Struthio camelus: one gene and its partners. The protein of the gene in region 3 interacts with the protein of the main gene of each other region in a biochemical or structural test. Links are inferred from orthologs where the notes say so. Each region holds a gene or a part of one and is shown on either strand. Other genes may lie near its edges.

Region 1 (7,957 bases), on a different chromosome or scaffold from region 3:
TCTTGGGAGACGTTAATTTTTCATTGCAAGAACATGTATTAGATCATACCTACTAAAAAAAGAGTATAACCTGCACTGTCTGGCACTGTCTCATGCAATGCATATCAGAGGTCAAAGGCTCACACTGACCTGTAATCAGTCACTACATATTTAGGTCTTCATCCAACAGCAAGCTCTATATAGGTTGATTACTTCACCTGCTGCGCTCAGCAGACAGGCCTAAATCTGTTTTCAGCTATGCACATACAAGTGCCTTTGATTTCAGCAAGAGTTATACAGGTGTTCCAACAAGACAACTGGATTTAATTTTCTGTTATACAGCCATAACACTTTGTTGGAATCAAAGTCTAAATCAAAAAGGAACAGTTTTAGTCTGTTAAGCGCATGAAAATTCCCAATCTCTGTTTTTGACCAGAATATTTCCTTTTCTTTGCAAACATATGTTTGGCTACTGTAACACAACTGTAATATCGTTGTCTTTTCATAGCAAACCAGATTTCCAATATGATGAGCATTATCTTTCCATTACGAAGCATTACTTAAACACATTAGAGAATGAAGTCTTTTTGCTGCGGTATTAGTTCAAGTTAACACAGACCTACTTTTTTTTTTTTTTTTTAAATTTATCATCATCAATTGATATTAAGCGAGACGTTGTTAGTATCTGCTGATGGTTTCTTTAGCGTTCCCTTACATGAAAATACCTTCCCTTCTATGTGTTTTCAGCCTCAAAACAAAAATACTTATGAAAAGCCAAGTAGTTTCCACCACAGTGAAAAACAAATTGACAGCTGGGATGCAATTTGTGACCTACCACTAGTGGCAAATGGAATGCATTTTATGATTCCACAGGAGTCAGAGTTGCAAAATTACCATCAATAATTTATAAGTTTAGGCTATACATAAAAGATTCCCACAGTGATACTCTTTGAAAGACCAGATTCTCTACCTGCATCAGATGAAACAGAGAAATCCTAAAAGTTTAAGTTTGCTATGTTATTTCATCGTCACATCTTCAGTCACTCCCAACAATGGCAAGTTGTACGCAGCCCTGCCAAGAAGCAGCACAACTCTTGCTATAAGGGGAGCTATGCCCAATGTATAAAGGCTAAACTCTGCTCCTGTCCACCCTTCCTGTTGCTTTCTCTGAAATAATTATTTTCAAAGATCGCATGGGAAACAAAGTAACAGCATACAAACTTCTGCGCGATAATTTTCTCTATTTTTACCCATGATTACAGACATTTTCATAATAAAGGCTAAATTTTGTTTGTAAGCATTTCCATTCACTTAATAATAATAAAATGGTAGGGAAAGCAAATGGTTTCTTGGGTGGATATAAAACCAGTTCCATTAGTAGGATGGAAAGATGAAGCACATCTACACTGATGTGACGTCCACTATTAATAGAGGATAAATTGAGATCAGAAGGCATGTAAGCTGTATACTAATTTTGTACAGATGATTATTTTAATGCATGTTGTAAAGGAACAATCTAAAAGCAGCTAAAGGCTTTTATTAAAATGCATCACCAAACGCTCCTTATCTTTTAGTCGATAATCTCTCACACACACGAATATAAGGCATAATAGCATGAGTCTCCTACCTATGAACATGAAGCAAAGAGCTCCCGAGATCATAGCAAGCGTAGCCTAATTTTCCAGAGCAATAAAATACCACTAACCAAGGCAAACCATTTCTTTTGACTATAGCAAAAAAAGAATGTCAGGCTCCCTTACCTGAGGTATCCATATAAATAACTATTTTCATAACCTGATATCCACAGATTATTTATTCATGGGTATATACATACATGCATTACTTACAAGTCATAAGAGATATTAAGTATAAATATTACTTTTAATGATTCTGCGTAAGACAACACAAACAAGCAGCATCTAAAAAATCTCTCCTATTGTGGGAGATTTGTGGGAGCAAAAGAGTGATTATCTTGGGGTGCATTTTCTTTTTTTAATTAAACTTCAGCGAAGTTAGAGGCAGGGTGCAACAGCCATTTTCTACTTCAGAAATAGGTGTGCTGCAGTAAGCCATAAAACAAAGAAATACTCCAGTTTTTCTAGTGAACTTCATTTAATTACATTGCCAACCGAGATTTTTGTTTCAATTTCAGACTACAAATGTTTAGCTCTGCAGGGGAAATGGAAAGGGAGACTCTCAAAAATAAGCAGCTTCTCACGATTTAAGAGAAGCCCGAGGTTTTAAGCCAGAAATATAAGCGACGGTTCTGAGAACGAAACTGGCAGCTGAACTTCAGGGAGGCACTAAGGCGCTCGCCGCCTTTCTGAATGAGGCACACGTTTTGCTCGCAAAGCAGAGACAGGATTTATTATCACCGCTCCGCGGCTGCAGCCAAGACGCCTACTGTCGCAGCTGAAATTTTCCCTACCTAAAAAAACCTGCTTCCAAGATCAAATATAAGTAGCATCACGCCCCTCCACTCCAAAAAAAAAAGAGGGGGGGGAGGAGGAAAAAAAAATTTACAGAGAAGGACAAACGCGTACGATTTTCACTTCCACCGCGCACCCCCCCCCGGCTAAACCCACGCGACTCGCGCGGGTACCGGCCGCCGCCGCCGGGCCCCGGCTGCTGCCCGCGGTGCTGAAAAGCTCCGGCGCCCCGCGCGCTCCCTCCGCGGGCCGCCGGGCGCCGGCAGCCGTTAAACCCCCGCGCGCGCGCTCCGGGCAACGGTCGCCCGCCGCGACCCCGCCGCGCCGCCCCCGCCCCGCCACAACAGGTGCGCCGCAGCCCGCCGGGCGCCAGCGGCTCCTCGCCGGCGCGTGCTCCGGCCGCTGGGCAGGCGGGCTGCCGCGCCGCGCCGGGGCCACAGCCGCCCCCTGCTCACCTGCGGCGCGGAGGTGGAGCAGGAGGCACAGCGCGCGGAGGCACGCGGCCGCCCGCCGCATGGTGCGAGCCGAGCCGAGCCGAGCCGAGCCGAGCCGAGCCGAGCAGCGCCACACCAGCGCGTCCCGCTCCCCCCTCTGCCAGTGAGCATGCCTGGGAACGGGCTGCGCATGCGCGGCGCCGGGCGGGTGGGCGGGAGGCGGGGAGGGCGGTTGAGCGGGCGGTTGGCCTCACGTGCCTCCTCGGCGCGGCGTGAGGCGAGGGGCAGCCCGGGCAGGGGGAAGCGGCCGTGGCTGGAGTGGGGTCAACATCCCCCCCCCTCTTCCGCCTCGGGAGTTGGGGTTGCGGAAGGAGCGTGGAGAGCTGAAGTATGCGGAGCTGAAAGGCGAAGGGAGAGACCTCCAGTTCCTCCCAGCTCCCCACAGGGGCAGGAGGCGAAGGCGAGGGGAGCGGCCTCTCCCTCAGCGCCCGAGCGAAGCAGCCGGCAGGGCTCTCTGCTGCAGCGGAGCGGTGGTGTTGCCTCTCCCAGATATTAAAGCCTTTATGAGGTTTGTCTCAAAAGATTTGACGTGTCTGGGAGGACTGTGATAGTGCCTATTTTTATGTATGCAGTGAAAGCGAGCTTCCCTTTCAATGCGTTGTGGAACCCCACCTAAAAGAAGCAGAAAGCCTGTGTGATGGAAATCACGGCTGATAGGAAAATAAAATGACATTTACTTGAGATCTGCTGAACTCTAGGCAGCGATTCAAACCGGATTGATGCCGCACGTATCCACTTACAAATTTGATTATGTGGACATCAGTGACCCAAATAAAGATTCCAAACTTAAAGCAGCCCTGCAGCCAGATTATTTTCTAGAGTTGTGTTTAATTGATCAAAAGAGTTACCAGAGGCTAACTTTGAAAGGAAGTAGCAGATGTGTCACCCTGCAAGTGAGCTGTCTCCAGACTAAAGCTGGATATGACAAACCATATATGCCTACAATCGGTTGTGCAACTAAAGTGATCTTAAGTAGAAAAGAATAAAAGAGAGTAACAGAGCTTGCTCTCTTTTAAGTGGCTTTAAATGACCCTTGCCGCAGAATTTTTCTTCATTATAATGGTGCGAAGAGCTGCGTAGGGCCTAATTTCTAGTTGCAATTGCATGTGTGGTTGAGCATATGCAAATAATCTTCCTTTGCCAGCCCCCACACTGCTGTTCACTATGTACAGGCAGCTAGGTCATTGGCTTGACAACAACATAAGCCACAAAAAGCTTGGGTTGGAAAACAGTGCTCAGTCTTGAGCTCTGCCCCAAATTGAGAATTCGGCTGATCAAGGGTATTGTTGAGGAAGAAGTGGTACGTGAGCCCTATCACCTCAGTAGTATCTTTTGCAGGTATCGTGCCTTGGATGCCCTGCTAGGTGACAGGATCTCTTCTGCTTTGTGTACTGAGATGGTAATTTACTATGGATGTATACAAATTGCAGCACATCCTGATCCAGTTTAATCCTGCTAGATCTGATTAGTAGAAATGAAAACTTAAAAGTGAAGTCTATCCATTCTGTACATCTTATTCATGTCCCCACAACTCCAGTTCCTATGTGCCTGTGCCTCAGAGGTATACATAAGTAATGACCTATACTTACTTCTCTGAGTAAGCTGTGCAGCACAAATTCCAATTTAGCCAACTCCTAGGCTAACTCCTAGGAAAAGACAAAAGAAAAATTTACTAACAGTCCTCTAATGTTTTGTTGTTGGTCAGAAATCATCACCCTTCTGTTTTCTAGGCAAGGACATAGGGTCAAATACAGGATAACTCTGCTGAAGCTAATGGAATTAATTTGTCCCCATGTGGTTACAGATGAGGCAGCTGTGGTTTTGTATGATTGAGCACTGTAGCAATATCTACTCACCTCACTTGTGGTGCCCAAAGGCACAATGACCAGATAACTTACCACCACTCTGTCAGAAAATTGTTTTCCACTGGGGAAATGCTTTTAGATGGGGTTTTGAGCCCATATCCAAGATAAGATTTAGGCTCCTAACTCTAGCTGAATTCAATGAGAAGCTAAGACTCTAAATCATTTGTTGGGTTTTGAATCAGTGCATCATCTTTAAAAGGTAGGGGGTAAAGAAAGGTCTCATCAATGCAAAATGAAAGCATAACTGTGGAGTGGGAAGCTGCTACACAGAAAGTGAGCTAACACATGTTGCATCAGCTTGAATTCTCTAGCTTCAGTGATTTTTTTTCTAAATATAGAACATGGTATTAGCAGAGTGGAGATCACTAGTGTGTGGCTTACTCTCTAAGTCTAGACTGACTCTTCAGCTGAGTGCTGGCTTTACCAATATTTATCAGTGAGGTTAATGATATGGGAGTTATTTTCTTTTAACATTTTTTTCCACAGTATCTTCTTCTCTTCTGATGTGGCAGGTTGAGTATGCTGCTGAGAAGTCTCATTTGATAGCAGTTACAATTAAGAGAGAACGTTCCAAATGTTAGAGCTCTTAGTGGTGTTCTCACCTGCCATGCTAGAAAGACTGTCTTCCATGGCTGGGAATCATTTTCCACTAGACTTCAGTTGACAAAATGCTTTAAGACAAAGCGAAACAATGAAAGGCAAATGAAAAGGGGTCTTCATTTCAATAGTGCAGTGATATACGTATTAGCCAACAGAAAAAAATATCTAGAGAAGAGAGAAACACACTTTTGCCTAAGATAAATGAAACAGATGCACACATCTGTTTGCCATTGATGAGTTTCAGCAGAAAACTGAAGCACTGGGTAGGAATAAGAGAAAGCGGACTGGAGGAGGAGGGCATATAGAGAAGGTGATATGCATAAATCGAAGGACTAGGTCTAGAGCTATACAATATTGCTAGGATGGGAAGAGGGGTTCTTTTAATACAATGCAAACAGGTAACAGCTGCAGGAGAAGTGTCGAGGAGTACCTTGTGTCCTAAGAGATTGCCTGTGGGCAAAATCATTATTGTACCAATGTAAATGCATCATATTCCTTAATGAGTATTGTCATTATAGGGTTACAGCACTTGTAAAGTGGTCTGAGACTCTCCAGTGTATTTTTGACAGAATCTCTAATATAGGCATGGAAAAGAATGACGCTGACTTAGCCGAAACACAATACAAACTTTGACAGCAAAAGAGAGAGAGGATGCAAGGATATTTTATTCTCTCAGCAGACTCATTTATGGCTATGTATGTTTATCTGAAACTTCAAGACTGTTACCAGATTTTGGCAAGACCATGTTATAATTTTTATGTCAGTTTTTTTCTAATGATGTTAACTGTAGCTTGACGGGCAACAATTTGCTGCTGTTGGTGAGGCAGGTTGGAAAGAATCAAATGAGTTAAGGTGCCTGACCAAAAGCTGCCTGCTAAAGATATAAAGCAGTTGACTGTTCATCCCCAGAATGAACAGCTAAGGTATTGACTGAGACCTGTAAGGGGCTGAGGCAGCCCAAACTGGTAATGAGGACAGCACGAGTACTAACAAATGCATTTAGCTATACTGATTACTCCACTTCTTTCAGTCAGTTTAATTCATACATGTAATTGCTAGCGAGGTTACATTATTTTCTTTTGCTGTGAAGTTATATACCTCTGGGTCACCTGCTTTCCACTACAGTGCCCGAAAGCTGTGGTATTCTACAGTATCTCCAGGAGTTCTCAAAGCTGCAGATAGGGAGGGGAAACAAAGCTGGCAATTCAAATGCTGGTTATGGTCTTCTCTGTGCCTTCCACATGAAGGAGGAGAGGAATAAATGTGACATGGAGCTGCTTATTCCTACCAGGGTGATAGTAGTTTGTTTCAGCAACTTGTATTTACTGGTGAAATGTTTTTAAATAGCTTTGAAAAAATAAGGATGGCTGTTTATCTTCTTGCCCGTGGCTAAGGACAGGTCTTTTAGCACTGTTTTCATTTAAAGCCTCATTGTGCAAATGTGCCAGAAATGTTAGCTTTGCTTTCTGCTGTGGTGCATTAGCTGTTCCATTGTTTTGCCTGAAAGTGGGACATGTAGGCACAGGTCAAAGTGTTCAAAATACAGGTGTGGGATTCACCTCACCTAACTTGAGGCATTTACAATGTAGGTAACTTCCTCTGAGGTAGTCATGCTGACCTCCCTTTGTAGTCAAAAGAGAGAAACAGGCACTTCTAGAGCAAACTTCATCTGACCTGTTTTAGACGTCTACCTCGGGATGAATCATGCCCCAAAATGCCTATTTTTCTCCATTGACTGTAAAGGAAGATTAAGATCATTAGCTCACATATATTTGCTCAAGTAGCTCTTACACTCTCTTGCAAAGTTGGTCACCCTGAGAGTGTTTCTGTATTACTGATAAAAGAAATCTGTGTTTTAAAATTGATGTTAAACAACCCTTCACAAGGACAGAATCAACAAATCTGTTAGCAGACTGTCCAAGCATTTTTGGCTCTCTCTCCAGGTCCATTCATAGCAGCTAGCTGGAACAGCAAGTGGCAGCTCCAATTGATGTAGCCTAGATTGCAATTCACCAGCTAGATTATGAATATTTTTGTTGCATTTCCTCTAATTTCCATTTCTTCTCTCTTCTATGCTCTCCATACCAGAGCGCAGTAAAGATATCTTCCTGCAGTGTTCTACCAGGGACATCAGGATTCATAAACTCAGGTCCTGCAGTTACAATACTGACAGAAAAGATATAAATTAAAATTTCAGACTATCCTTTTACTCAAGTCTAGGAATACATCTCTTGAACTATACCTATTGTATATTCATTTATTTTATGTCAGAGTAATTTAATATGATAAACCTTTCTCCTAAAATAGAAGTGAAAAAACGTTTGTGTGTGTGCGCATTTATATACATTTAAATATGGAATGAGGGTTACTTGTTACTAATAACTACACAATACATCTCTAAATGAAGCAGTTATGCTTGAGATTTAAAGTAAATTGCACAGAACAATTTAACTCTAGACTCAAGCCTCCCAGCATAAGAGTAGCTTTGGTTTTGCATGGAAATAATATTAATCATGAGCTTCTGTCTCAAGTGAGTCCAACTTCAGGCAACTCTGAAATAGCCTAAAGATGCTAGCATTAGGGTAAACTC
Region 2 (7,383 bases), on a different chromosome or scaffold from region 3:
CAAGGTTGATTCACTTCACAATGCTGAAAATAAAGACCAGCTTCAAAGCTGTGATCCACAATGATATTTTTCTGGGTTTGGGGTTATTCAGGCAAAGTTTGTTATCTGGGCCTGTCCCTAGTTCATAAAAACACACTTTGCTAAAGGGTTAGGGGGGAAAAAAAAAAAAAGAATCATGGTGATGTGAGACCTTTAACTGAGAACAATCCAATACTGCCAGTTCTTGTGCAACAAATCTATGTATTATATAAAGTATAATATGGACATATAAGTGTAATGCTTGTTATTAAAAGTGCAATTTAATGTACATGGTCACAAAAAATGTTTACTTTTTTAATTGTTACAGAATTGTTTGGATCAGTACCTTGTTATCATTGTGTGAACGATGCCTTGTAAAATAAATGGAAATGCAAACAAAATGGGTATAAGGTGCTTATTTTCATAGGCCGCTTGCTTAAGAAACAGTTTGACTGTGTCTGTAGTAATAAATAACTACTGTACCAGGTCTTCAGACATAGTTTACTCAAGTTGGTTATTTTCAAGCAGCACTACTGTACTAAAACACAGCGATTTAGCAGCCTAGTCATCCAAAACGTGCGAGTGTTACAAAGCTAATTTCAAACTGTTGGTATAATGTCCTTGTTCACAAGAAGCAACCTGTTCCACAAGAATCTGACAGACATTATGTGGGAGAGCTAATAGGTCACGTGGGTCCTCTTTTCCAAATGTTAGTCTGAAGTTTACAGCACAGAGAACATACTGATCAATATGCTTCCCCTGAAGGCTGCTGATCTAAAAGATCGGGAAATACGAGCTGTTCTTAAGGACCCGATGCTTCAGTGGAGGTACACAAGAGAAACAGGCAAGCGAGCAATGACACGTCTAGAGGAAGAGAAGAATCAGGGAGCAGAAGGTACCAGCAAGAAACAGAAAACATATTTATAACAGAAGCATGGCTAGGCAAGAACAGGACAGAATAAAAGTTCAGTATTCATTAAAGTTAGCAATTAGAAGAATTCAGATACTTTATAAAACCAGTTTTCCATGTGAACAATAGATAAGAGTTGTTACAGGGATTTTTTTTTTCCTATTTAGACGAACAGCCACTGCTGCCTGCATAACTGGAAAAACACACAGCACTTGAGAAGAAGATATGAAGCCATAAGGGTAGAAAAGCTGAAGATAAATATTTTTAACCAATTAGTTTACCAGAAAATATATTGCTTTTGATTAACTTCCACATCACCGTCCAAAGACTGTTTGCCACCAGTTTCCATCAGTTCCTACAGACAAAAGGAACGGCTACTGCAGGCTAGCTAAGGAGGCCAAACATCCTTTCGTAGCCCTTCCAGATGCTCTCTTTTCTGTCCCTAGAGCCAATGACCATTGAAAAACAATATACTGCACAGTGTTTTGTCATCCAGAGAGACTGGATCCGGGTCTTTCGGTTGAATTTGACTATTCCCACCAATCCGCCTCAAGGTCCTTTTTCCCCTTCCTGGCTCAGGAACTGTTCCGATTCTTCTCTCCTGAGAGGAAGACCTGTCACTTGGCAACTTGTAAAAACGTGCACAGAAAACTAAGTTTGTCAGGCTTTCTCTTCGTTCCGACAAGGGGGAACGCAGCATCTGGATGCTACTGCAGCTTCATGCAGAGCAGTGTGGAATGTGTTTTTACATGAGACAAGAGATACACTCTTCCGCTTGTAAGCTGCCACTCAATGGGAGTGCCATGGGCACTGAAAGGCTCGTGACTTAAGGATACAAAATAAGCACTGGTTTTCAAAGAGCCTAGCAAGCGACTGAATTACAGGCTCACTTGCACATGCATTTATGTATTGGTGAAACATGTCATGTTTTCTCCTCTATCCAGAAATTAAATTATAAAGCAATATCAATTTAAATTCTAAAGCTATGAGAATGTCCTAATGCAAGACCACAACTGAGAGGGGAAAAACTCGGAGATTAGTGGTTCAGGAAACATCACAGAAAAGCTGCTTCTTGTCTTAGTGGCTGCTCAGCAGAAAGATCATAAGGAAACAATTCCTGAATATGCAACTGCTCTCAACAAATTAAATAACCATGCCACGGAAGTAAATTCCAATTGCCCATACTGTAATTTCCAGATAAAAATCCACTAGCCCAACTTCAAATGCTATTGCTAAAGATCTACAGGATGACGCTCAGTTCTGTGAAAATTAAACAAAACTACAGAGTTAGTCGTGGAGATTTTTCCTGACAATTTCTCAGCTGCAGCTCTTGAAGCACTGGACCAGAGGGGTATGAGCAACATTTCAGTATATGCTATTAACATTGCATTGTGACATACAGCCTTGCAAGTCCTCAACTTCAGATTTTCTATGAATCTCTGATCTAATATCCTCTTACCTACCCCCACCAATCCCCTGCAAAAAAAAAAAAAAAAAAACATTCACAGATTATTTATGTTTACCTTAGAAGCGGAGAGGAAAAAAAACCCCTAAGCCCATAAATTGGAGAGTGAGCTGGCATTTCTCAGCTCAGTAAATTAAATGTTAAAACCGGCAACCTCTCTTACAGAGAAATCTACTTTTTCAGCACTGAGTGATTGTATACTCCTTTGTGTTCCCATTTTTATGAGGACATTTGGAGGCAAAAGTTGACTCTTCCACTTACCTACTTATAGAAAGATTTCCATCAGCTTCTTTTTTTCTGGGAAATTTTAATGCCCGACTGGGACCTGGGAATACAAAAGCCTTTTTTTTTTTTTTAATTATTAATTGATTTACTAAAGGTGGTGAGAGGCACCATGAAATACTTTCTCCCTGGACCAACTGTAACTGAGGTTGTAATACTCAGGAAGGTCATTTCACCTCTTTTCTAAAGGCACAATGATTGACTCCATATTGCAATTGAAGTGGTTGCTAACTTGTTGATGCCTCTTAATGAGAATATAATCACTAACCCTCACCACAAAATTTCTGGCTTCCAACTACTACTTCCTGGCGGTAGGGGGTTCTGTATCACTGATAATCTTTGACTCTGTAAACTCAGCATGAATGTAAGTAGCTTGCTATAGATGAGTCTAAAAATCACAAAAGGATTCATAGTTGGTAATTTCCTTTTTGAAAACCCTTACCATAAAGCTGCATAGTATTTCCAGAAGAAAGACTTAACTATTAACAAAAAACTCAACCATCTAAAAAAAAAAAAAAAAAGCTATTCAAAGCATTGCAGTTCCAGACTCAGTTTATGTCAGCTCCTTACTCCTAAACACACGCACAAGACAACCTCTGCCATTTACAACACGCAAGCTTTCCAACCTTTGGTGCACTGTAAATTGATGAGGTTCACTTATTACAAAGGCTGCATACGTTCTAGGTTACTTTCTTTTCAGAGTACCTCATTGCCAAACATTGGCCTGAGTCGGGTAAGGCAAAGAGAGAGAGACGAGCTGCTGCTGTTGGCATCATGCTGGCATTGAGGTGACCTGCCTGTTGACGCTTTTATGTTTTATGCAAACAGCACTCTGGGGCTCGGTTTAACTGGCCTGATCCTTTTATGTGCCCACAGCTAACATAGCGCAGCTATAAAAGAGCGCACCGTTGCTCAAAAAAAAAGACAAACCAAAGAACAGTGTTTAATACAAAAGCTCACCAACGCCAATTAGAGCCCAGCAAGCACTTCAGGCAGGAGCTTGAAAGCTTTACTGGCACTTAAAGAGATTCTGGCACACCAGCACATGTGGCTGTTTTCCGTACATGAAAGACTTCCTTACCTAGCGCAGGGTTACAAAAAAGATTGCAATATTCAGAAAAAGCATATTTAGGCAGGCTGTTTACGGTCCTGTTTCCCAATTACACTAAACACAGACGGAAGGGAGGAATCCTGATGTCAAGACAGAGACTCGGCGAGGCCCTGCCCAGCCGGGCACACAACGCGTACGGGCAGCCCGCCGAAGGCGCACGGAGAAGCGCGGCCCGCCGGTTCAGCCCGCCACGAACTCTGCCCACCGGCCGCGGCCTCCAGCCTCCTCAGAGACCGCCCCGCCTCTCAGATCGCTGCCTCCCCGGCCCCCAGCCACCGCCAGGGTGGCTCTCCCAGCGCCGCAGCGCCAGGCGGCAGCGCCAGGCGGCAGCAGCAGCGGCAGGCGGAGCCCTGACCGCCCGCTTCCTGCCGTCAGGGCGGCGCGCCCTCAGCCGGTCGCTAACGGCCGCGTAACGGCCGCGCCAGCCCCGCCCCTCCCCCCACGCAACGGGGCGCACGCGCAGCCCCGCCCCGCCGCCTGACGCGTCGGCGTGTCACCATAGCAACGCCCGTCCGCCAGTGACAGGGGCCGACAGCGGCGCGCCCCTCTCCTTCCGCAGGCGGAAGGGGCGGGGTTGGCGAGGCCGCCTCGGTGGGGGGGGGGGGAGGGCGCGTGACGCCGTTTCCGGCGCGTGAGCGCGGGGCGGGGGGAGGGGACGCGGCGGCGCGAGGCCGGGAAGGTTCCAGAGGGGCCGGTGGGAGCCGGAGCCGCCGCCGCCGCCGCGGGGGCAGCAGCGCCGGGCACGCGCCGCGCCATGGCCGCCGCGCACGAGGAGGTGAGGGGCGGCGGGAGCGGGCGTCGCGCTGAGGGGCCGCGAGCGGCGTTGGGCGGCCCCGGGCCCGGGCCGGGGCTCAGCACAACTGTGCGGCTCCTTATTTACTTATTTATTTATTTAATTATTTAATTTTTTGGCGCTGCCCCTCTTTCCCGAAGCCTTGGGGGTGGGGGGGGGGGATGCGCGGAACCTCTTGTTTTTCTTTAGGTGTCTGCCAGGTGGGTTCCGGGCGCCTCTCTTTTGCGGTTGAGCTGCGATTGCGCCAACGTGCAATTAATTCGAGCGCTCTCAAGTTAAAGAAACGCGAGAAGTTTCAAACATGGAGGGAGAAAAAAAAAAAACACGTTTCTGTGCCGGTCTGGTTATTTATTGTAATATTCCTCTCTCCTGAGCAAAGCTAGTGTTTCAGAAATCCCTGAGGATCAGATGTTTATCACGTTGAGTATGTCTGCCCCTTCCTTGAATCGTACAATTCTACAATAAATCGGTCACTTAAAAAGGAAGCGCAACCTCTTGTCGTCTCCCCTCATTGAGAGTTTCAGTGCTTTTGATGCTATTGTTCTACATTTGTTAGATCTTAGAATAGAGAATCTTATTTTGAGGGGGAAAGTAGGTTAATGAGGTACAGTGAGATGTTGCTTTTGATTTATGTGGCTGCAAGGGCTCAGTGGCTGGTAATCTGGGGCATAAGAGACGTTTACCCCCATTTGACCTTTTTCTGAGTCTTCCGTCTGAATATTTGCTCAGTGCTATAGGTCTGAGATCGGGCAGTACGTTTTTAGCAAAATCCAAAACCTGTTGGTGTTCCAAACGTTAAACTTTTATTAATTTCCCCTTTTTTTTAACTGAACGAAGCTTGAAGATTGAAATTGAGCAGTTAAAACCTTAGTGGCCGTGGAGTAAGGGACAGATGGTTTCACGCTGAGGAGGGTATAAAGGGAAGTGTAACTTGGTTTGCTGAATCTGTGTCTGAAACTAATAGGAGTGAAAGAGCCCAGTGGTGTGAACCCTGAGTAGAAAGAGGGGTATCTAATATGCGTGCACGATCTTTTATTCTTAAATCAGTTACAGAAAGATTTGGAAGAGGTTAAAGAATTGCTTACGAAAACCACGAGGAAGCGACTTCGTGATGTCCTGATGACTGAAAAACACAAGCTAGAGATAGAACTCAAGAATCAGCCTCCACCAAAGCTGAAAGCAGATGCAGGAGAAGAAGAAAAGTCATCGCTGGGAGGGTATACAGTGAAAATAAACAACTATGGTAGGATTGCTCTTCTACACAAACGTTAGAGCTCAGGCTTCTGTTTTGAATAGAATGCAGGGTGGTATTAAGTGTGAGTCTTAGTTGCCATTTAGCGTTACAGAGAAACATTCTCAGATGTTTATACCACACCACAGACCCCCCCCAAAAAGCTACTTACTTACAGGCTTACTGCTCTGTCCCAGCCACAGTTCTGTTTGTCTGATAGCTTTTCTTTACTGGAGGAACACGTTAATGATCCCCGATGCACCTACTAGTATTTTTCTATTGCCTAGTGCTTAGCAAGAACGAAAGACTGAGCTTTGGCTTCTCTGCTCGCCATGTAGGTAAAAGGAGAAGGAATTGCTTAAGGTACTTGTCACGTGGAAAGTATAAGAAAAAGTGGGTCAAGGAAACGGCAGGAAAACCAGGCATCTACTTCTGACTTTTCTGAGGAAAGCTAGAACTTTATCTTTCTCACTTGCAGGTTGGGATCAGTCAGATAAGTTTATTAAGATTTACATCTCTCTAAGTGGAGTCCAGAAGCTCCCAGCTGAGAATGTGCAGGTGAATTTCACAGAGAGGTGAGTTCATATTTTTGCCCCATGCCAAGAAGGAGAGCGTGGGTGTAGAGCATTATCTGAAATGCAGGAATGTGTTGTGTTGAATTTTGCTCTGGGTTGCTGTGTCGTGTTTTTTTTATTTTTTTAACTTTAATTTTATTAAAAGTATCAGCTTATTAATTAATTGCTTATTAAAGTATTAACTTTTAATAGTACTTGAGTACATACACTTACATATAGCTCTCCTTAGTGGGTGTCAGAGTATTTTAATTTTACAAATGCTCCTTATGCCTCATCATGCTTGATAGCATATGTTACGTTAGACCTATTTTTTGATGGTGGTAGAACTGAAATGTGGATTAAATGAACCTCCCTCCTTTCCAGGGTCATAGGAGCTCAGTCAGGTAGATGTTAGAATGCTAAAGATCTTGATTTGTTGTGAACTCTGCATAAGTCCTTTTAAGTGCTCAGTATTAAATCCAATAGAAGATTTGAAAGCCTGTTGGCTTGCTTTCCCAAGAAACGTGCCTGCTTAATGGTTTTCAGACGTTGTGTTTGATGACAGGGCTGAATAGTCTTACACTGCTTGGAATTTTTGTTTGTGCCTTTCCTCCCCTCACCTTCTGGCTCTAGGTCATTTGATCTGCTAGTGAAGAATCTGAATGGGAAGAACTACACCATGACCTTCAACAACCTTCTGAAACCCATCTCTGTGGAAGGCAGCTCTAGAAAGGTCAGTCAGCATACCTCTTCTCTTGTAGGTACTTTGTAAAGAATCTGAATATCTCTGTATTCGTAGCTTGACTCCAGTTCAACAGATTGAGCATTAACCTGCAGTCCCTCCCTTCTGTCTGTAAAGTCTCTTCAGTGTAAACGTGACTCTCATTAATCTGTAGTTGTAATAATTGTAGAATTATTTTCTGGAATCCTTGGGCTTCTGTTTCAAAAGATCGCGGCCAGATACTGAAGCGTTGTTGATAGCTCTCGAACAGGATTTCAGAAATTGGTGACAATTAAGC
Region 3 (6,823 bases):
CCTCTGAAGTTGCATGCATTAGCTGGGGGTCTAAAAAACCAAAAACATCAGAGCTTGCTTTGTTTTCCTTCATTAAAGTGTACAGATTTAAATGGATTTTGCAGCTGCAGGGAATATCTCCATCTTTACTCTCATAGCTTGCCCTCTAATCACCTCACAAGGGAGAGGCTTCTGCAGATCCTCACTGCATTAACAATCAAAGCAAGACATGAAACATTTAGTATTAATCTACATAACCTATACCTCCATTGATTAATAAGTAATCTTATTTAATCGTAGCAGCTCATCTGCTGTGCACTACAAAACATTACATTTGCTATGGCATTTAGCTAGAACATGTGCAATCCAATACTTACCAAGTATACAATACAAACTGAGACTTTGTTCCCTGTCATTTCACACCCAAGGCAGAAGAGCAATGATTAATTAACAGCTCAACATATCAAATCTAGTATTTCACATGAATAACTTTAGAGGGAAAAAACTCAGGAGCCAAATGTGTATGTCTCTATTTTTGTTAATAACTGTGTACAGCAATCATACTAGAGAAAAAAAAAAAAAGAAAGAAAAAAAAAGCGAAAAAATATAAGAAAATCCACAACACTAGAATGAGCTATTAAATAAAAAATAACATTACATAGCCAGTCTTGGAGATAGAACTTAATAAAATATTAAGTAATAGAACTTAATGACACACCATTGGATGGGGGGGAAGGGGCCATATTTTCCCTATATCTGCTCACCAACCTAGTGATGCCGAAAAAGGGCATCAACTGCCAACATACTGCTTCTTGTAATCTTTGATCATTGGTGAAACATTTTAGCTTTAACACAACATCTGTGTTACCATTTTTAACATCCCATTGATATGAGCGGGACTATACACACATCTTGGAAGTACTATTCCAAATCAGACTGCATGCGTAAACCAGCGCAGTCAATAATGAGATTATGTGCACTGGCTTAGTTGTCCCAGCACAGATGATTTGCACCACAGTAAAATATGGTTTGTACCATAAGCTACATTAATGTCAGTTTTAGAGTGGATATATTGCTGTGATCTATAACACTAAAATGATAACAGGGGTATTTTTACACCATAAACAGGATTTTTGATTTTCATTTTGAAGGTTCTTCCCCCAGCTAAAAAAGTGAAGGCCACAATTCAAAACTTAAATACAGGCATATCTCCCAGCTAAATTCAGGCCTAAATGAAAGCTTCCATTCTGAAATACAAGATGACTTCATTTTAATAAGCCAGCACAATCCATCACAGCTGTAAAATCTGTAACATACACTTGGATGTTGTGAAGAGCCTTCACCGATAAGTGTACTAGTTTATACTATAAAAGATTAAACATCAGAGAGAGACATTATCGCTAATATAGCTTTCACCAAGTCATAACCTGTAAACTTCATTTAGTACTTCTGGTCAAATCTGAACATGAAACAGAAGCAGCATTGGAAAAAAGTTGATAAAATAACAAAAAATAGTTTTATTTTTGAAACAAGGGATTCAAATTAAGTCACTTTATCCTGTTTTGCTAATGGTAAAAAACAGAATAAGAATTGTAACTAAGGTCACAAAGTACGTCAGTTTTATAACCCAGTCACTAGGTATACCACCTCAGAGCATCATCTTGACTCAGCCCACCACATGCAGGCTGCTAAAAGAAAACCCATCTCACACTCTAAATCCAGGTAGCTTACATTTTAGGCATTTTATAGTTCACTGGTTAGGTTTTTAAGAGTGATACTAACCAAAGCAAATGTGTACTACTGCTTTCTAGTGAGGCTTACCACCAGTCTTCATGATATAAAATAATCAAGAACTGGAAGAGCTGAAGAGAACTTTCATCTCTCATATATGTTAATTTAGACAATAATCTGGCAGGCTGTGCAACAGTCAACAAACACATCCAAAGAAAAGGCAGATAGGGACAGCAATTCGTATACACAGATTCACTTTTTCTGTTTATCAACCATGACCCTAGGAACATGCAGCACAGGCACAAAGGAAAAAACAGAGCTGTTAGCATGATGTTATGACCTTCTCCCCTTTTTCAGTGTCTATAATATAACTGTAAGGAGAGAAAAAAGAAAGGGAAAAAGCAACTTGAGAAGCAGGAGGAAAAAAAAATTAAAAATAACGAGCACACGACAGAAAGGAAACGAGACGCGTAGCTGCACCCCACGGTGCAGGAATTTTGGCGGGGGGGGGGGCGGGAAGAGGCGACGGCAGCCGAGGGTTGGCGGCCGGGGAGGGGACGGGCGATGCCGGAGGGACAACCTCGGCAGCGCGAAGGGGAAAGCGGGGATGAGGAAAGAGGCAAGGATGCTGGAGGCCTAGCTTCCCCTCCCCCGAGGGCCAGGCACGGGCCGCTGCCCCCCGCAAGGGCGGGACGCAGCCCGCGGCCGAGCCCCCGGGGAGGCTGCGGCCGGGCAGGGCGGCGGGGCGGAGGGAGGAAGGCAGGCAGGCAGGGAGGGAGGCAGGCAGGGAGGGAGCTGTGCAGGGCAAGGGCGCTGGCCCGGCGGGGCGCGGCGGCCGGCACTCACCACACCATGCCGTAGGCCCCCTCGCCGATGTAGGAGAGGTTGGTGTAGCGCGGCCCCACGTCGAACACTTGGCCCCGCACCATCTCCGGGCCCCCGGCGTTGGCAGCGCCACCCGCAGCCCCGGCCCCCGACACCGCCGCCATGTTGTCCGTGCCGGGAACCGCGGTGACTGCGTGCGGGGGGGGGGGGGGGGGGCGGGGGGAAGGAAGGCGGGGTGAGGAGGAAAGAGGGGGGCGAGGAAAGAGATGCGGGGAGGGGGGGGTGGAGGGAAGTAAAAGAGGCGTCGCCGGCTCCGCCGCGCTCCGGAGCACCGGCCGCCGGCTCCGAGCCCCCGTCAGCGCCGCCGCCGCTGTGAGGAGACGCTGCCGGGCGCGCGCGCGCACCCACAGCGCCCGGGGGGAGGGGAGGGGAGGGGAGGAGGGAGGGGGAGCTCGCGCGCGCGCGGGGGTGGGGCGGGGCCAGGAGGCGCCCCGGGGGGGCGGGGCAGGAGGAGGGGCGGGGCCCAGGCACTGCGGTAACGGCCGCCGCCGCAGCCGCGGGGGGAGGGGCGGGGTCACGTGGTGGGCGTGCCGGCTCTGCGGGAGCCGCGCGGCCGCCCGGCGCCATTAGAGGCGTCAGGTGGCGGCGGCGGCCCGGGAAATGGCACCCGGCCGCCCTCGGACGGGGCCGGCTGGGCCGGGCCGGGTCCGCGGGGCGCCCCGTTGAGGCCCAGGCTCGGCGGCGCCCGGGCTGTCGGGGCGAGCCGAGGGCCGTCAGCGCCGGGCCGGGCCGGCGGCCTCGCTGCTGGCTGACGGACGGCCCGGAGGAAACGCGGGGCGGAAGCCTGGGGCCGAGGCCTGCGCTCCCTGCGGCCCTTGCAGCCGGGCTCTGTTTTCTTCAGCTCCCTGTGACAACGCTGCCCCCCGCGCAGCAGTCAGCTGCGGGCGGAGAGGGGGTTTCTCTTGCGTTTAAGGTGCTGATCTGAGGCCCAACAGGCCCTGCTCTGTCCTTGGCTCTGCCGCAAGCCCCTGATGTCACGCAGGGCAAGGTTAACATCCTGCCAGAGAGCTGGGTTACTGGAGGGAGGGCAAGTTTATTTCTAACGCTTTCTGACTTTTCAGGGCTTAGTTTTGCAACCTCTAATTAGCATATGGTTTTTACATGCAATTATATTTTCCCATTACTTGTTTCCCCTATGAATGTAAATAAACTCGAGGTTTTGAGCAGGAGGTGAAGATTTAATTTGTTATAGTTTGTATCATGCCATGATTGTCGCTTGCAACAATATCCATTTTTCCTGTTTTCCTGCAAGGCTCCCTCTTCCTGCCATGTTCTTTAGGTTCACCAAAAACATCAAGAGTCTTTGCTTCTGAATTTTTTTCTGCAATTCTGTAAACACTATACTTACATTCCATGTTTTTTTAAGGCAAAAAATTGTACTTGCTACTTAATTTTTCACTATTATTGGCATGGTTTTAGATAGTCTCTCCTGTTCCTTTGAAAATGCATTAATCACATACAGATCTCCATATATCTCATCACACTAGTGTGTCCATGTTCATGCCCATCCTACCCTGTCGAAAGACCCCAATGTGAAATCAGCTCATTACCCCTGACTCATGCTTTTCTTAAAAGTCGCTGTTAATTTTGTGTTCTTCTTTAACCAGAAGGTGTTACGTGCCGATCAAGTTCCTGTCAGGGTCTCACTGGTTGTGCTCTGCCCTCTTTCTTCTCTCAACGTTTCTCGCAGCTCTGCCGCTGCTCTCTCTAGACTTCTGTTGACATTTCTACTGCCGACCGTGCTGCTTCATGTCTCTCTCTCTGCCTTCGGGGTGTGCGATCCCCGTCTTGCTTCTCCCCACTGCCCGAGTCCAGCTGCAAGTCGGACTGCCAGAGGCTCTTTTCTTGCATCCCACCTTCTGTCACTCCTTGCTGCAAACCAGCTTCCATCACCATGACCAAACAATTGCAGTCTTCTGTAGCTGGTTACAAATATTGTACAACCTCCTGATTACGACTTATTAGCATCCCCCAAAGCTTCGGCAGAAGTCAAAAGGAAAGAGTTATCAGTTTAAACTGAGCAGTGGCTTAGCCTAGCTGCAGCCTAAGGACTCTCCTTTGGCATGGACCTACCCAGCAGGCTTCAGGGTTTCAGATGCAGCCCCAGCATGTTTGGTGGAGTGAAAGCTATCCTGGATGACCAACGTAATCTAATGAAAAAAAAAAAATCCATCTTCTATTTATCACACATTAAATCATATGGCTTGGTTTTTGTGTATCGATGTGGGATAGTTAAAATTACTTGTTATGGCTTTATTTTTCCTTGTATATAATACTCTTTCCTTTCCATAATGTGCTTTTTTTTTCACTTTGGAAACCCACATTATTTTTCTGAGAAATTGCAGACAGCAGTAGAGGTGAATAAATGTTTAAATTTTCTGAAACTGTGTAAGTAAAATATGATTTTAAAGGTTCTTCTCTTAACTCTAAAAATGAAATTATGCTTACAGTTCTGATTACATACATAAATAAATGTCATCAGCAAAGGCAAAACAAATGATTATAGAGAAGCTAGCTTAAACACAACCTGTCATAGCAAAATTTAATTAAAAACTGGTGTATATCTAGATTATTTTCCACCTTCACCAGGATGTGTCAGATCAAAAAGGAAACCAACCAGCAGACCAGGAAATTGTGGAAAGACTGTCAACTGCTTTGAGTGCTGTGTTCAAATATATGTCTAATCCAATTAAACCCAAATAAGCGGTCAAAAGGCTATGGCATGCTTTGCCAACAGTTCCTCTTGTGACAGAACCTAGTTGTATGTAGTTCCAGGTAGCAATACAGTTGTTGAGTTAGACAGACCAGATAGAAATGGTAGCAACTGCTTTTCAGCCTTTATAAATACACAGCTATTACCTACACTTTATGCTGGGTCTTTCCCTCACACGGTGACAAGGTGACATTACAGCCTTGGTTCTGCAAGGAATGTAAATATGTTTTAAGCACATGATTAGTTCCATGATCAGAATAAAGGGTTATGTTGTGGGGAGAGGTGATACTTACTGTAAAATGATTGCAGATAACAAAAAGCAGGTGAAAAAAATGTCTCCATGCCTCAAGCAGAAATAAAACCACTGCTAAGAAGAGCTGTCCAAACAGAAGTGCAGTATCTTCAGTTTGAAAGCTGTATGAGGAACCAGCCAAGCTATAAAATAGGTCAGTTTACATGTGCGACAGTTTGGACTATCTATCTCCATCATGATATCAAGTTCAGGAGTCACTTGGATGAGTTCATTGTACAGTTAGGGTCTAGAGATTCTCTGTACTGTTACAAATATCTACTTTAACTGTTAACTTTGTGGTCTGTAAATAGTTCTCTTGAAAAGTAAATGTCATGCTATGAAAGACCCTATGAGTCCTGGAAACAGCGTGATCAGATATAGGCAAAGAACAGGAATGATACGTAGGTGCCCTAGAGCGTCACTCTTTCCTGAGGGTGGGAGGGTTTTCCATTTTTTTTGTGCTGATTTAGAACTAAAGCTACCTCTCCTAAAACCATCATCACTGCAATCGTCACGCTGTTTGTGTAGGGGCAGTCCAGACAGCGCTTTCGTGGTCCCTGCTGTCGGGTTATGGCATTCACTTTCCGAGAGCCTCGGAATGACCCTGAACCCTCTCATCCTCCAAAGAAAATGCAAATATTATGTGTGTAAAACGATTTTCCCAGCATTATTTAAAAAGACCTCAAGCCTCTGTGTGGGGGTGAAGACAGAGAGAGAGACGTAAGACATGGAAGATGTTGTATAAAGACATATTTTAACTTCTGTGTCACTCAGGAACCATGGTGATGAACGTGACAAAAACTTAAATTACTTAGATATGAGAGCTCTGATCCACAGGGAACCATCCTAAGACTGATAAAGAGCATCAGATACTAATAACTCGTAGTCACTACCGACCTGGGCTTGATTTAACTGGTGACATACAGCTAAAATCCCTTGTGACTGATTTTCATTTAAATGTTGGCCACTGCTTTGACAGTGTAAAGTGACCTCAGTACAAATGAGAATCTCTCTGTAATCTTATGCTGTTGGGAAGTTAAAAACATCCTCCTGTTGGAGGTACGGGAGGGAAAAAAGGCGATTAGGGCATTATTCAGTCTTTCACAGGTAGTTAACAAAACAAGGCCCAAATCACTGGTCAGTTGATGACAAAGCTAACTTACAGGGTTTTTCCCAGTGTTTCCCCCTCCCTTTCCCCCCATCCAGCATTCTGACTAACTTTG
Region 4 (7,681 bases), on a different chromosome or scaffold from region 3:
CCCAATCTCTCTCTCTCTCTCTCTCTGAGAACTCCTTTGCCAACACAAAGAACAGGGCAAACATAAATAAACTATTAGGATGTTTGTGTGCTTTTGGAGGATAGCCCTCAGGCATCAATTTGGTGATAAACCCATCATTTTCAGATTAGCTGCACCCTCTGTGCTGAAGGTCTCAGTCACTACAGAGGAACAAGATATTGCTGCAGAAAACAATACCGAGCAAACACAGAGCTAGAAAATATCCACAAGATATCGTCAAAGTCAGTCCACCTATGACTTCTACTTCTTCCAGATCAGTGTCCAAGTACCTTATAGAAAAGTACAGTGCTTAAGCTACAGCTTCAGTACAGCTACTACGTATTGCACGCACCACCCTCCTAGAAGGTTGCTAGGTGTTTGTGAGCATAGGCTGCTTTTCAGAGAAACTCAAAGAGTAGCAGATTAAGCTACAGACAGAGTTGAAAAGATACTTTGACATGAATGTAAAAAACCAAAATCTAAAAAACAAAAACGTACTTTTTAACCATGACCAAATTAAACTCCCTAGGGTAAGGAAATGCAAAGATTACATCACGGATCATCTGGTTCTCAAAGGTCTTTTTCCACTAGTGCGGTTTTTGTAGCCAACACAGCAGTCAGACTGCAGTACTACGAAGTTCGGGAAGAAAGTTACATTTGAACACCATGCAGAGTTAGGTTATTGTTCAGTTATTGGAACTTCTGACCAAAAGCTGTGTTCACCCACTTGAAGCCCTGGACTGATTTCACACCCGATCTGGGAACCTGACTTTACAAAGAATTAACTTCCTAGAGCAGTCAAGGCCATTCACTAATCAGGGTCATTCACCCTTTAATTTCTTCCAAGTCCAGACTTAAAATAAAAAGCTGTACAGCAAGCTGTGAGGATCATTCAGACCCAAAATTGAGAGGACTGCTGAGATTTAGGCAGCAAACAAGAAGTAAAAAAAAACAAAAATACCCCCCACACACAAACCAAAACCCTTGCAGAATTTTAAATCCTGAGATGAGTTCACATCAAAATAAAAAAACCAGGACTCTATTATATCATCTCTCCAGGAAAATCCACTCCATTCTGAGTAAGGTAAAAGACCTTCTCCTTTCTCACCGAGTTCCACATTCCTGAACCACATTTCACTGAGAAAACACCAACAGCTCAGAAGACCTGGCTCAAAGCTCATTAGAACTTGCCTCAGCTTCCATGCAGACCTATAGAAGACATTATTTTGCAGACAACAATAAACATCATCTTTAATTCGCATCATGAACTTTATCAGTGATAATCAAGCCCCTTGCATTTTCCTAAGACAGATGCTTGTTTTACATATTACGGAGAAAAGAAACTGCCTCCAATGGCTACCAATTGCCCTGCAAATCAATTGCAATCAAACTTAAAAGCACCAGTTCAGTTCTGTCTTCCACCTATTAAACAAGGACGCTTTAGATACACACACACACCCCCCTCAAAGTAGACCTTTGTTTAGGATTACTGTTCAGCAAAGTCAAAAAAGATATTCAACAAAGCAAGTCAGAGCAGTGAATTTTCTTATTTCTGCTGAGGACCTGTTTTAATTTTCAGTCTAGATCAGATAATTAGTCCAACTATAGTTTTTACAGGTTTCCAGGAGCTGTTCAAGAAAAAAAAAAATAATAATAATATAATTCATTCTAGCTTTGTACTTCAGCGGAAAAAACATTTCTTCTCATTTATCTGACGTCTGGCGTAAACGTTAAAGCAATTTATGATGACATAAGGAACAAAAGGAAAATTTAACAGTTACATCCGTTTCATTTTTAGAATAAAGACGTGGAACAACCTCCTCTGAAAGGAGCTAGCGGCAGCACAATTCCATCCATTCTTTATAACAGACTTCAAACCAACCAGTGGAAAAAAAAAAAAAACCCAAAACGGACAACACAGCACCGTTTGCTGGATAGACTCGGGATGGAAAAAGGAAATGGAAAGGCAATTAACTTTTTGTTCCCCCCCCCCCTCAAATCCTTGATCATTTTAACAGCCAAAAGCTCCGAGTTCGAAGAAGCGCGCAGCAGCTGTCCAACTCCGACAGGTGTGCGTGCCCTCCAGCTGGGCCGCCAGCCTTGCGCCTTCCACCCCTGCTACCCTCTAACATCGCTTTTTTTTTTTTTATTTATTTTTTATTTTTACGACCGCGGTTATTGCCGTAACATCCCAGTACCACCCCGAGTGACTCAGTCTTGGTAAAAAGTCCTTGCCCAACAGGACTGGCCATCAGCTCGCCGGGCCCCGACGGACCACACCACCGAGGGCGATCCCCCCGCGGCGGGTTTCCAGCCGCAGCCAGGGAGCAGCGGCGGCGATGCCACCCGCGGGACGCGCTCCCCACGCGGGGAGAGCCGGAGCCACCCAGCAGCGGCCACTACGGCGCCACCCGCGTCGCTCTGCGCTGCGGGGGTGGGTGGGGGGGGGCGGACACCTCGCGGGCAGCCCCACTCGGGATCCCCCTCCCACGGCGGCTCCGGGGCAGCGCTCCCCCGCACCGAGCGCCTCCCCCTACGCCCCACGCGCCGTCACACGAGGACCGAGCAAGGCCGCACCCCCTCCCCACGCAGCTCTGCCTCCCGTGGCAGGCCCACGGACACCTCTTCCTCCCCCCGCGCGCCCTCGCACCCCCCGCTCGGGGCTGCCCCACGCGCCTCTCCACCCGCCGGGCGCGGCTCGCCGCCTCGCCACGGGGGCCAGGGAAGCTCCCCCCCCCTCCCCCTCGCTCCCCAACGGTCACAACGGCCCCCGCCGTCCCTCTCACCGTCGATGTCACCCAGCGTGAGCTCGTCGCCCAGCTCAGTCAGCGCCTCCATGTTCTCCGCGCCCAGCTCGCCGCTCTCCATCGCGCACGGGCCCGCCCCGCCCCGGCAGGCCGCACCAGGGCATGAACCGCCGCCGCCGCCGCTCAAGCCCGGGTTCCCGGCGAGCGCCGCCGACCCCGCGCCATCTTGGGCCGCCCACGGCCCGCCGGCCCCGCCCCCCACCTGCCCGCAGCTCCAGCCGCCGCTACGGCGGCGGCGGCAGCGGCGGCGGCGTCGCGCGCGCGCGCGCCTCCCGCGGTTTGTTGTCAATGAGACCAGGTCGCCCCTGACCAATCGGCGGGCGCGGCGGCGCGTGGTGTGATGGCGCGTCACCGATCAGCAGCTGCGATTAGCATAGCAGACCCCGCCCCCGCCTCCCCCTCCCCCTGCATTAGAATATTCATGAGGTGGGGGCGTGGCCGGCGGCGCGGGCGGGCTGCGCAGCGCCGAGCACCGCGCCGGTGGGTGGCGGGGGCGCTGCCCGCCGCAGGGCCCAGCCCGCACGGCGGTGCGAGGGAGGGAGGGAAGGAGGGAGGCTTCTTCCTGCCTCGGGGCTCCCTCCTCCTCACCCCCGAGGAGCGGCCATCGCGTGCCTTGAAGCCGCGTCGCACAACTAGGGTGGCCCCAGCCCCCTCCCAAGCGCCTCGCAGGGCCGGGTGGCAGGTGGCGACCAGCGCTGGATAAATCCGCCCCCGCGCGCCGCTGGACACGGGACAGTCCAGCAGGACGGGACCTCAGAGGTCTCTGCTCCAAGCAAGGCCCACTTTGGAGTTACACCAGGTTGCAAAAATTGCAGCAGGGAGGAATAACCAACTGGGTGGTTGCTGAAGGACCCCCGGCCCCGCACACCCCCGCATCCTTGCCATGTCCAGCAGCCTTTCCTCTCCCCCTGCCCGTTCACCGGGAGCCTCGACCAAGAGGGAGCTGCGGGCATGCGGCACCCTAGGGGGAAAATACATGATTTTGCAAGCTGAGGTGTTGCAGCAGCGCAGAGCCGCTCACGGCGCCTGTCGCTCCGCGGGCTCTCCGCGCCGTGACCCAACCGCTGGAGCCCGGAGAGAAAGCGATGGAGGAAATTAGCAGCTAACCTGCTCAGATGCTTTTGAAAAATCGTATTTAGGTGCAACTGCAGGCACCTAAATATCCTTGAACATCTCTCCCTGGGAGCCTAAAGGAGATTGCGAGATGGTGAGGAAGAGCGGCTCGGACCTGTTACAAAGCTGGCATGAAATCAGATGAAGGGGGAGAAACATTAGATTGAAAGCAGCAGTAAGTTTTGGAGGAAGGGGTTTTATTAAAAGGTGCTCCGATTTCCCAGGTAACCGGCTGGGAGAGTTGGCCTCATCCTTTTAGTATCTCCTCACTTAGGCACCTTCTAAAATAGCCAAAGCTACGGCCCGGAGACGCCCTTGGGCACGCGCCCCTTTTTGGGAGCGCTCCCACTGGGAACGCAATCAACACGCAGGCTTCTTTAAAAAAAAAAAAAAATCAGATTTATTCAAGAAAAACAAAACACTTCCCATCTCAACGCAAGTTCCCAACGCCCCCGTCGAACGTACCCGTCTCCGTATTTAAAAATAAAGGACGTTTCCCACCACTGGCCCCGTCAAGTCGCCCGAAGGCAGCTTGGGCGGCGTGGGAAAGCGCCGGTCCCGGGCAGGCGGGGGCCGACCGGCCGGCTCCAGCTCCTCCGGCACCGCCGACGCGCACCGAGGGAGCCGGGGGGAAGAGCTCCCTCCTCCCAGAGCCGCCCCCGGCCCCTCGCAGCAGGGGCGGCCCTGACCCCCCCCCCCCCAGCAGCGGGGTAGGTAGCGTTTGGATGGTGGGATTTTTTTTTTTTTTTTTTTGGAAAAGACTTCTGCAATCCAAAATACGGAGGGGGAGGGAAAAAAAAATCGGGTGGAAGGGGAAATTCGGCAACCCTGGCCGCTTCCACAACCAAGCCCCGTTGCGGTGCCAGGGAAAGGAGGGCGGAGAGGCCACGTCCGTCCCCGCGAGCGCCGCTTAATTCCCAATTTCCCTCCCGCCGTCCCCATCAGGAAACCCCTCCATTAGCCGCTCAGGGAAAACGGGGGCCGCGGCCCGGCCGGGAAAAAGGCTCTTTTGGCCTTTTTCAGCCGCCAGGGACGACAGGCGGGCGGCTGAGCCAAAGGGCGGCCAGGAGACGGGGAGATCCGGTGCATCGGCCGGGCAGAGATCGGGTATAACCGGGCTGGGGCGCAGGGAGCGGAAACATCACCGATTTAAAAAAAAAAAAAAAAAAAGAGGAAAAAAACCTCACAGAAGCAGCGTTGCCCACGAGGCCCCTTCGCTCCCGCCGCGAGCTCCCCGGCCCCCCCATCCCCTCGCCGCGGCAGGCCCGTTTCACGCCCCCGCGCCCCGGCTGGAGGGGAAGTTGGCGGAGGGGAAGGGGACGGGACGCCGCCAGGGGGTCCCCGCCGCCGGGGCCGGGGCCCGGCCCTACAAGTCGGACTGCGAGCGCGAGATGCGCGGGCCCTTGCGGATCTCCTTCCGCTTCTCCTCCTTCTTCCGCCGCTTCTCCTCCTCTCGCAGTGCCTTCTGCAAGGTGTCCGCGCTGGGGAAGAACTGAGCCGGGGAGGGGGGGGGAAATCACGGCGTCAGCCAGGAGGAGCAAGCCCCGAGGCCCCGCGGCCCCCGCCGCAGGAGCGGAGAGAGGAGGGCACGGTTTTGTACCCGCCAGCAGCTGGCACCAGCCTGGCCAGAGACGGGACTCCCTCCTCCGCTTCCCTTCCCAGCCACGCGCTCGGCCGTTCCCCTTCCCTCTCCCCCCCCAAACCTCCTCTTTCCCCACGGCACGAGGTGGTGGAGGAGGAGGAGAACCGCGGCCGCTTTGCCGTCTTACCTCGGAGTGGTCGGTTTTGAAGGGGTTGCGGTAATCGGGAGATTTCTCGCTGATTCCCAGCTCCTGAGCCATCTGCAGAGCAAAGCAAGGGCCGCGCGGCGGATGGCGGCGTCGCTCGTCGCCCGCCGCGTCCTTGCCTCCCCCCCCCCCCACCCCGAGCCTTCCCTCCTTTCTGGGCCCCTTCGCTCTCCCTCCAGCCCAAAGATGTCCCTCAGGCAGGGGAGACGCTCTCCAGCCCGGCAGGCACGGGAAGAGGCGAACGCTCCCTCTGCTTGCTCTCCCTTTACCCTCGCGCCCGTGCCCACGCTTTGCCCCCCCGGCAGCGGAGACGGGATACGACGGGCGAGACTCGGCCTTACCAGCCCCAGGACCTGGGAGTGGGGTCCCTGCTCAAACACCCCCGTCAGGTTGCAGAAACCAATCCCCCAGCGGATGAGGTTGTTCCAGTTGGAGTTGCGGTCGAAGTAGTGGTGCACGATCTTGGGGAAGCGCAGGACGACGTCCCCGAAGAAGGCCGTGTTCTCCACCACGTGGGAGTACGCTGCGGAGGAGAGCCACCCGGCCCTGTCGGCAGGCCGGCCCCACGCACTGCCCCGCTCCCGCCAGCCACGGTCCCCTCCCCAACCGCCAGGGCCCCCCACGCGTGGCCGGAGCACAGGGACGGGAGGAGAGGCTGCTTCCAAAGGACGCGGTGAGACTTCCCCTTCCACGTCCCGCCGCCTGCGGTTACGGACGCGCCGTGCGCCCAGCCCAGCCTCCTCGGGGGCTGACGTCCCATGATGGCTCCTGGCCCTCAGCAGCGGGGACGGGGCAGTTCCAGCTGAGGCTGGCTGGGGGAAGTCGAGGTTGGCTGCTGAGGTTGGATGTGGAGCAGATCCCGACAGCAGAGATCAGGGACGGGAGAGCTCACACAGGCTACAAAGCACCACATCAGCTCGGTGCCACTTGGGAAACGAGAGCAGGAAAGTCTAGAGACGGCTGCAACAGGCAGTGCCTTTGCCCTGTCCTAGCTGGGCAGCATGTTCTCCAGGGGCTTTGCAGGATCTACGTTTAAATCTCTGTTGTGATGAGGCCTCCTCTCCCCATATCCTTTGGGAGACTGCTGAACAAAGGCCTCCCCAGTGAAACTCAAATTCATTCAGAGTCATTTGCCCCTACCTCATCCTGGGAGCATCTAAATCCTAGTGGCAAAGATGGAGAGGCAGGGGGTAAATGGGCAGGATCCCCAGTATGAACTGGTCAGCGAGACCGTAATGGCTCCCCGATAGAAAACACCACAGGGACCAGTGGAAGATCCCCGTAGGGATCTCTGTAGGCAGCCCCAGGGATTTCATAGCTACCCTGGCACTGATCCCACACGAAAAGACAGAGATGCAACATAGCAATGGAAAAAGGAACGGGGGCAGAAGACCAGAGATGACCTACCATCTTTTAGCTTCTCGTCCTGAGGAAAAGGCCCATCTGGCGGCACATCTGCAGCTATTAGCACGGCCCGGGAGTCCTCCAGCACCTGAAAGGCTCTTGGTTACTGCCCATCCCGCCTGCCCTCCCCCCTTGCCCATCCTTGCCCCAACCTGGCCCTGCTCCCCTCTGTCCAAGGGCAGCCTTCAGGGGACCCCCTACTGCTGCAGCAGCCTACTCTGCCCCTCAGCTCGTCTCTTCAGCCCCACAGAGGCTCCCTGCTGCCGTTGCTTCTCCTGCTCGCCCTCCCCAGCGTCCCGGCCTGGGTGCAGCACCCAGCTCAGGGGCGAAGGGAGGGAGTGGGCAGCTCGCGCCAGAGCATGCCGAGCCCGGAGGAGAGCCTGCCCCGCGCCTCACCTTGAAGAGTCCCTTGAGCATGATGTCGATGATTTTGTACTGCTGGTTCACGTCGTTGAGCTCGATGAGGTTCTTCAGCGCGTTCATCTGGTCCTTGCGCTTCACCTCAAACAGCTTCTTATCTGCACCACCGTCAAGGGCACCGCAGAGCTCCTG

Evidence for each region. The genes of interacting proteins can lie anywhere in the genome.
Region 1: the proteins of MAPK1 (region 3) and PTPRR form a complex in vitro, tested with the Homo sapiens proteins (2 studies listed by BioGRID, with this or other methods). The link is inferred for Struthio camelus from reciprocal best matches to the Homo sapiens genes MAPK1 and PTPRR.
Region 2: of the proteins of MAPK1 (region 3) and CACYBP, one has a biochemical effect on the other in vitro, tested with the Homo sapiens proteins (2 studies listed by BioGRID). The link is inferred for Struthio camelus from reciprocal best matches to the Homo sapiens genes MAPK1 and CACYBP.
Region 4: of the proteins of MAPK1 (region 3) and SREBF2, one has a biochemical effect on the other in vitro, tested with the Homo sapiens proteins (2 studies listed by BioGRID). The link is inferred for Struthio camelus from reciprocal best matches to the Homo sapiens genes MAPK1 and SREBF2.

The regions. Positions count from the first base shown.
Region 1 is NC_090942.1:41,388,877-41,396,833, forward strand, and holds the start of PTPRR (receptor-type tyrosine-protein phosphatase R), read right to left. Parts: upstream 3,013-7,957; 5' UTR 2,925-3,012; coding exon 2,864-2,924; intron 1-2,863. UniProt on the Homo sapiens protein: Sequesters mitogen-activated protein kinases (MAPKs) such as MAPK1, MAPK3 and MAPK14 in the cytoplasm in an inactive form.
Region 2 is NC_090949.1:5,137,815-5,145,197, forward strand, and holds the start of CACYBP (calcyclin-binding protein), read left to right. Parts: upstream 1-4,371; 5' UTR 4,372-4,540; coding exon 4,541-4,561; intron 4,562-5,626; coding exon 5,627-5,822; intron 5,823-6,288; coding exon 6,289-6,385; intron 6,386-6,997; coding exon 6,998-7,097; intron 7,098-7,383. UniProt on the Homo sapiens protein: May be involved in calcium-dependent ubiquitination and subsequent proteasomal degradation of target proteins. Probably serves as a molecular bridge in ubiquitin E3 complexes. Participates in the ubiquitin-mediated degradation of beta-catenin (CTNNB1).
Region 3 is NC_090958.1:10,423,945-10,430,767, reverse strand, and holds the start of MAPK1 (mitogen-activated protein kinase 1), read right to left. Parts: upstream 3,005-6,823; 5' UTR 2,700-3,004; coding exon 2,557-2,699; intron 1-2,556. UniProt on the Homo sapiens protein: Serine/threonine kinase which acts as an essential component of the MAP kinase signal transduction pathway. MAPK1/ERK2 and MAPK3/ERK1 are the 2 MAPKs which play an important role in the MAPK/ERK cascade.
Region 4 is NC_090942.1:56,592,892-56,600,572, forward strand, and holds the start of SREBF2 (sterol regulatory element-binding protein 2), read right to left. Parts: upstream 3,013-7,681; 5' UTR 2,887-3,012; coding exon 2,805-2,886; intron 1-2,804. Other genes in the region: CCDC134 (coiled-coil domain-containing protein 134), read right to left, coding at 5,305-5,430, 5,708-5,779, 6,067-6,248, 7,133-7,217, 7,526-7,647.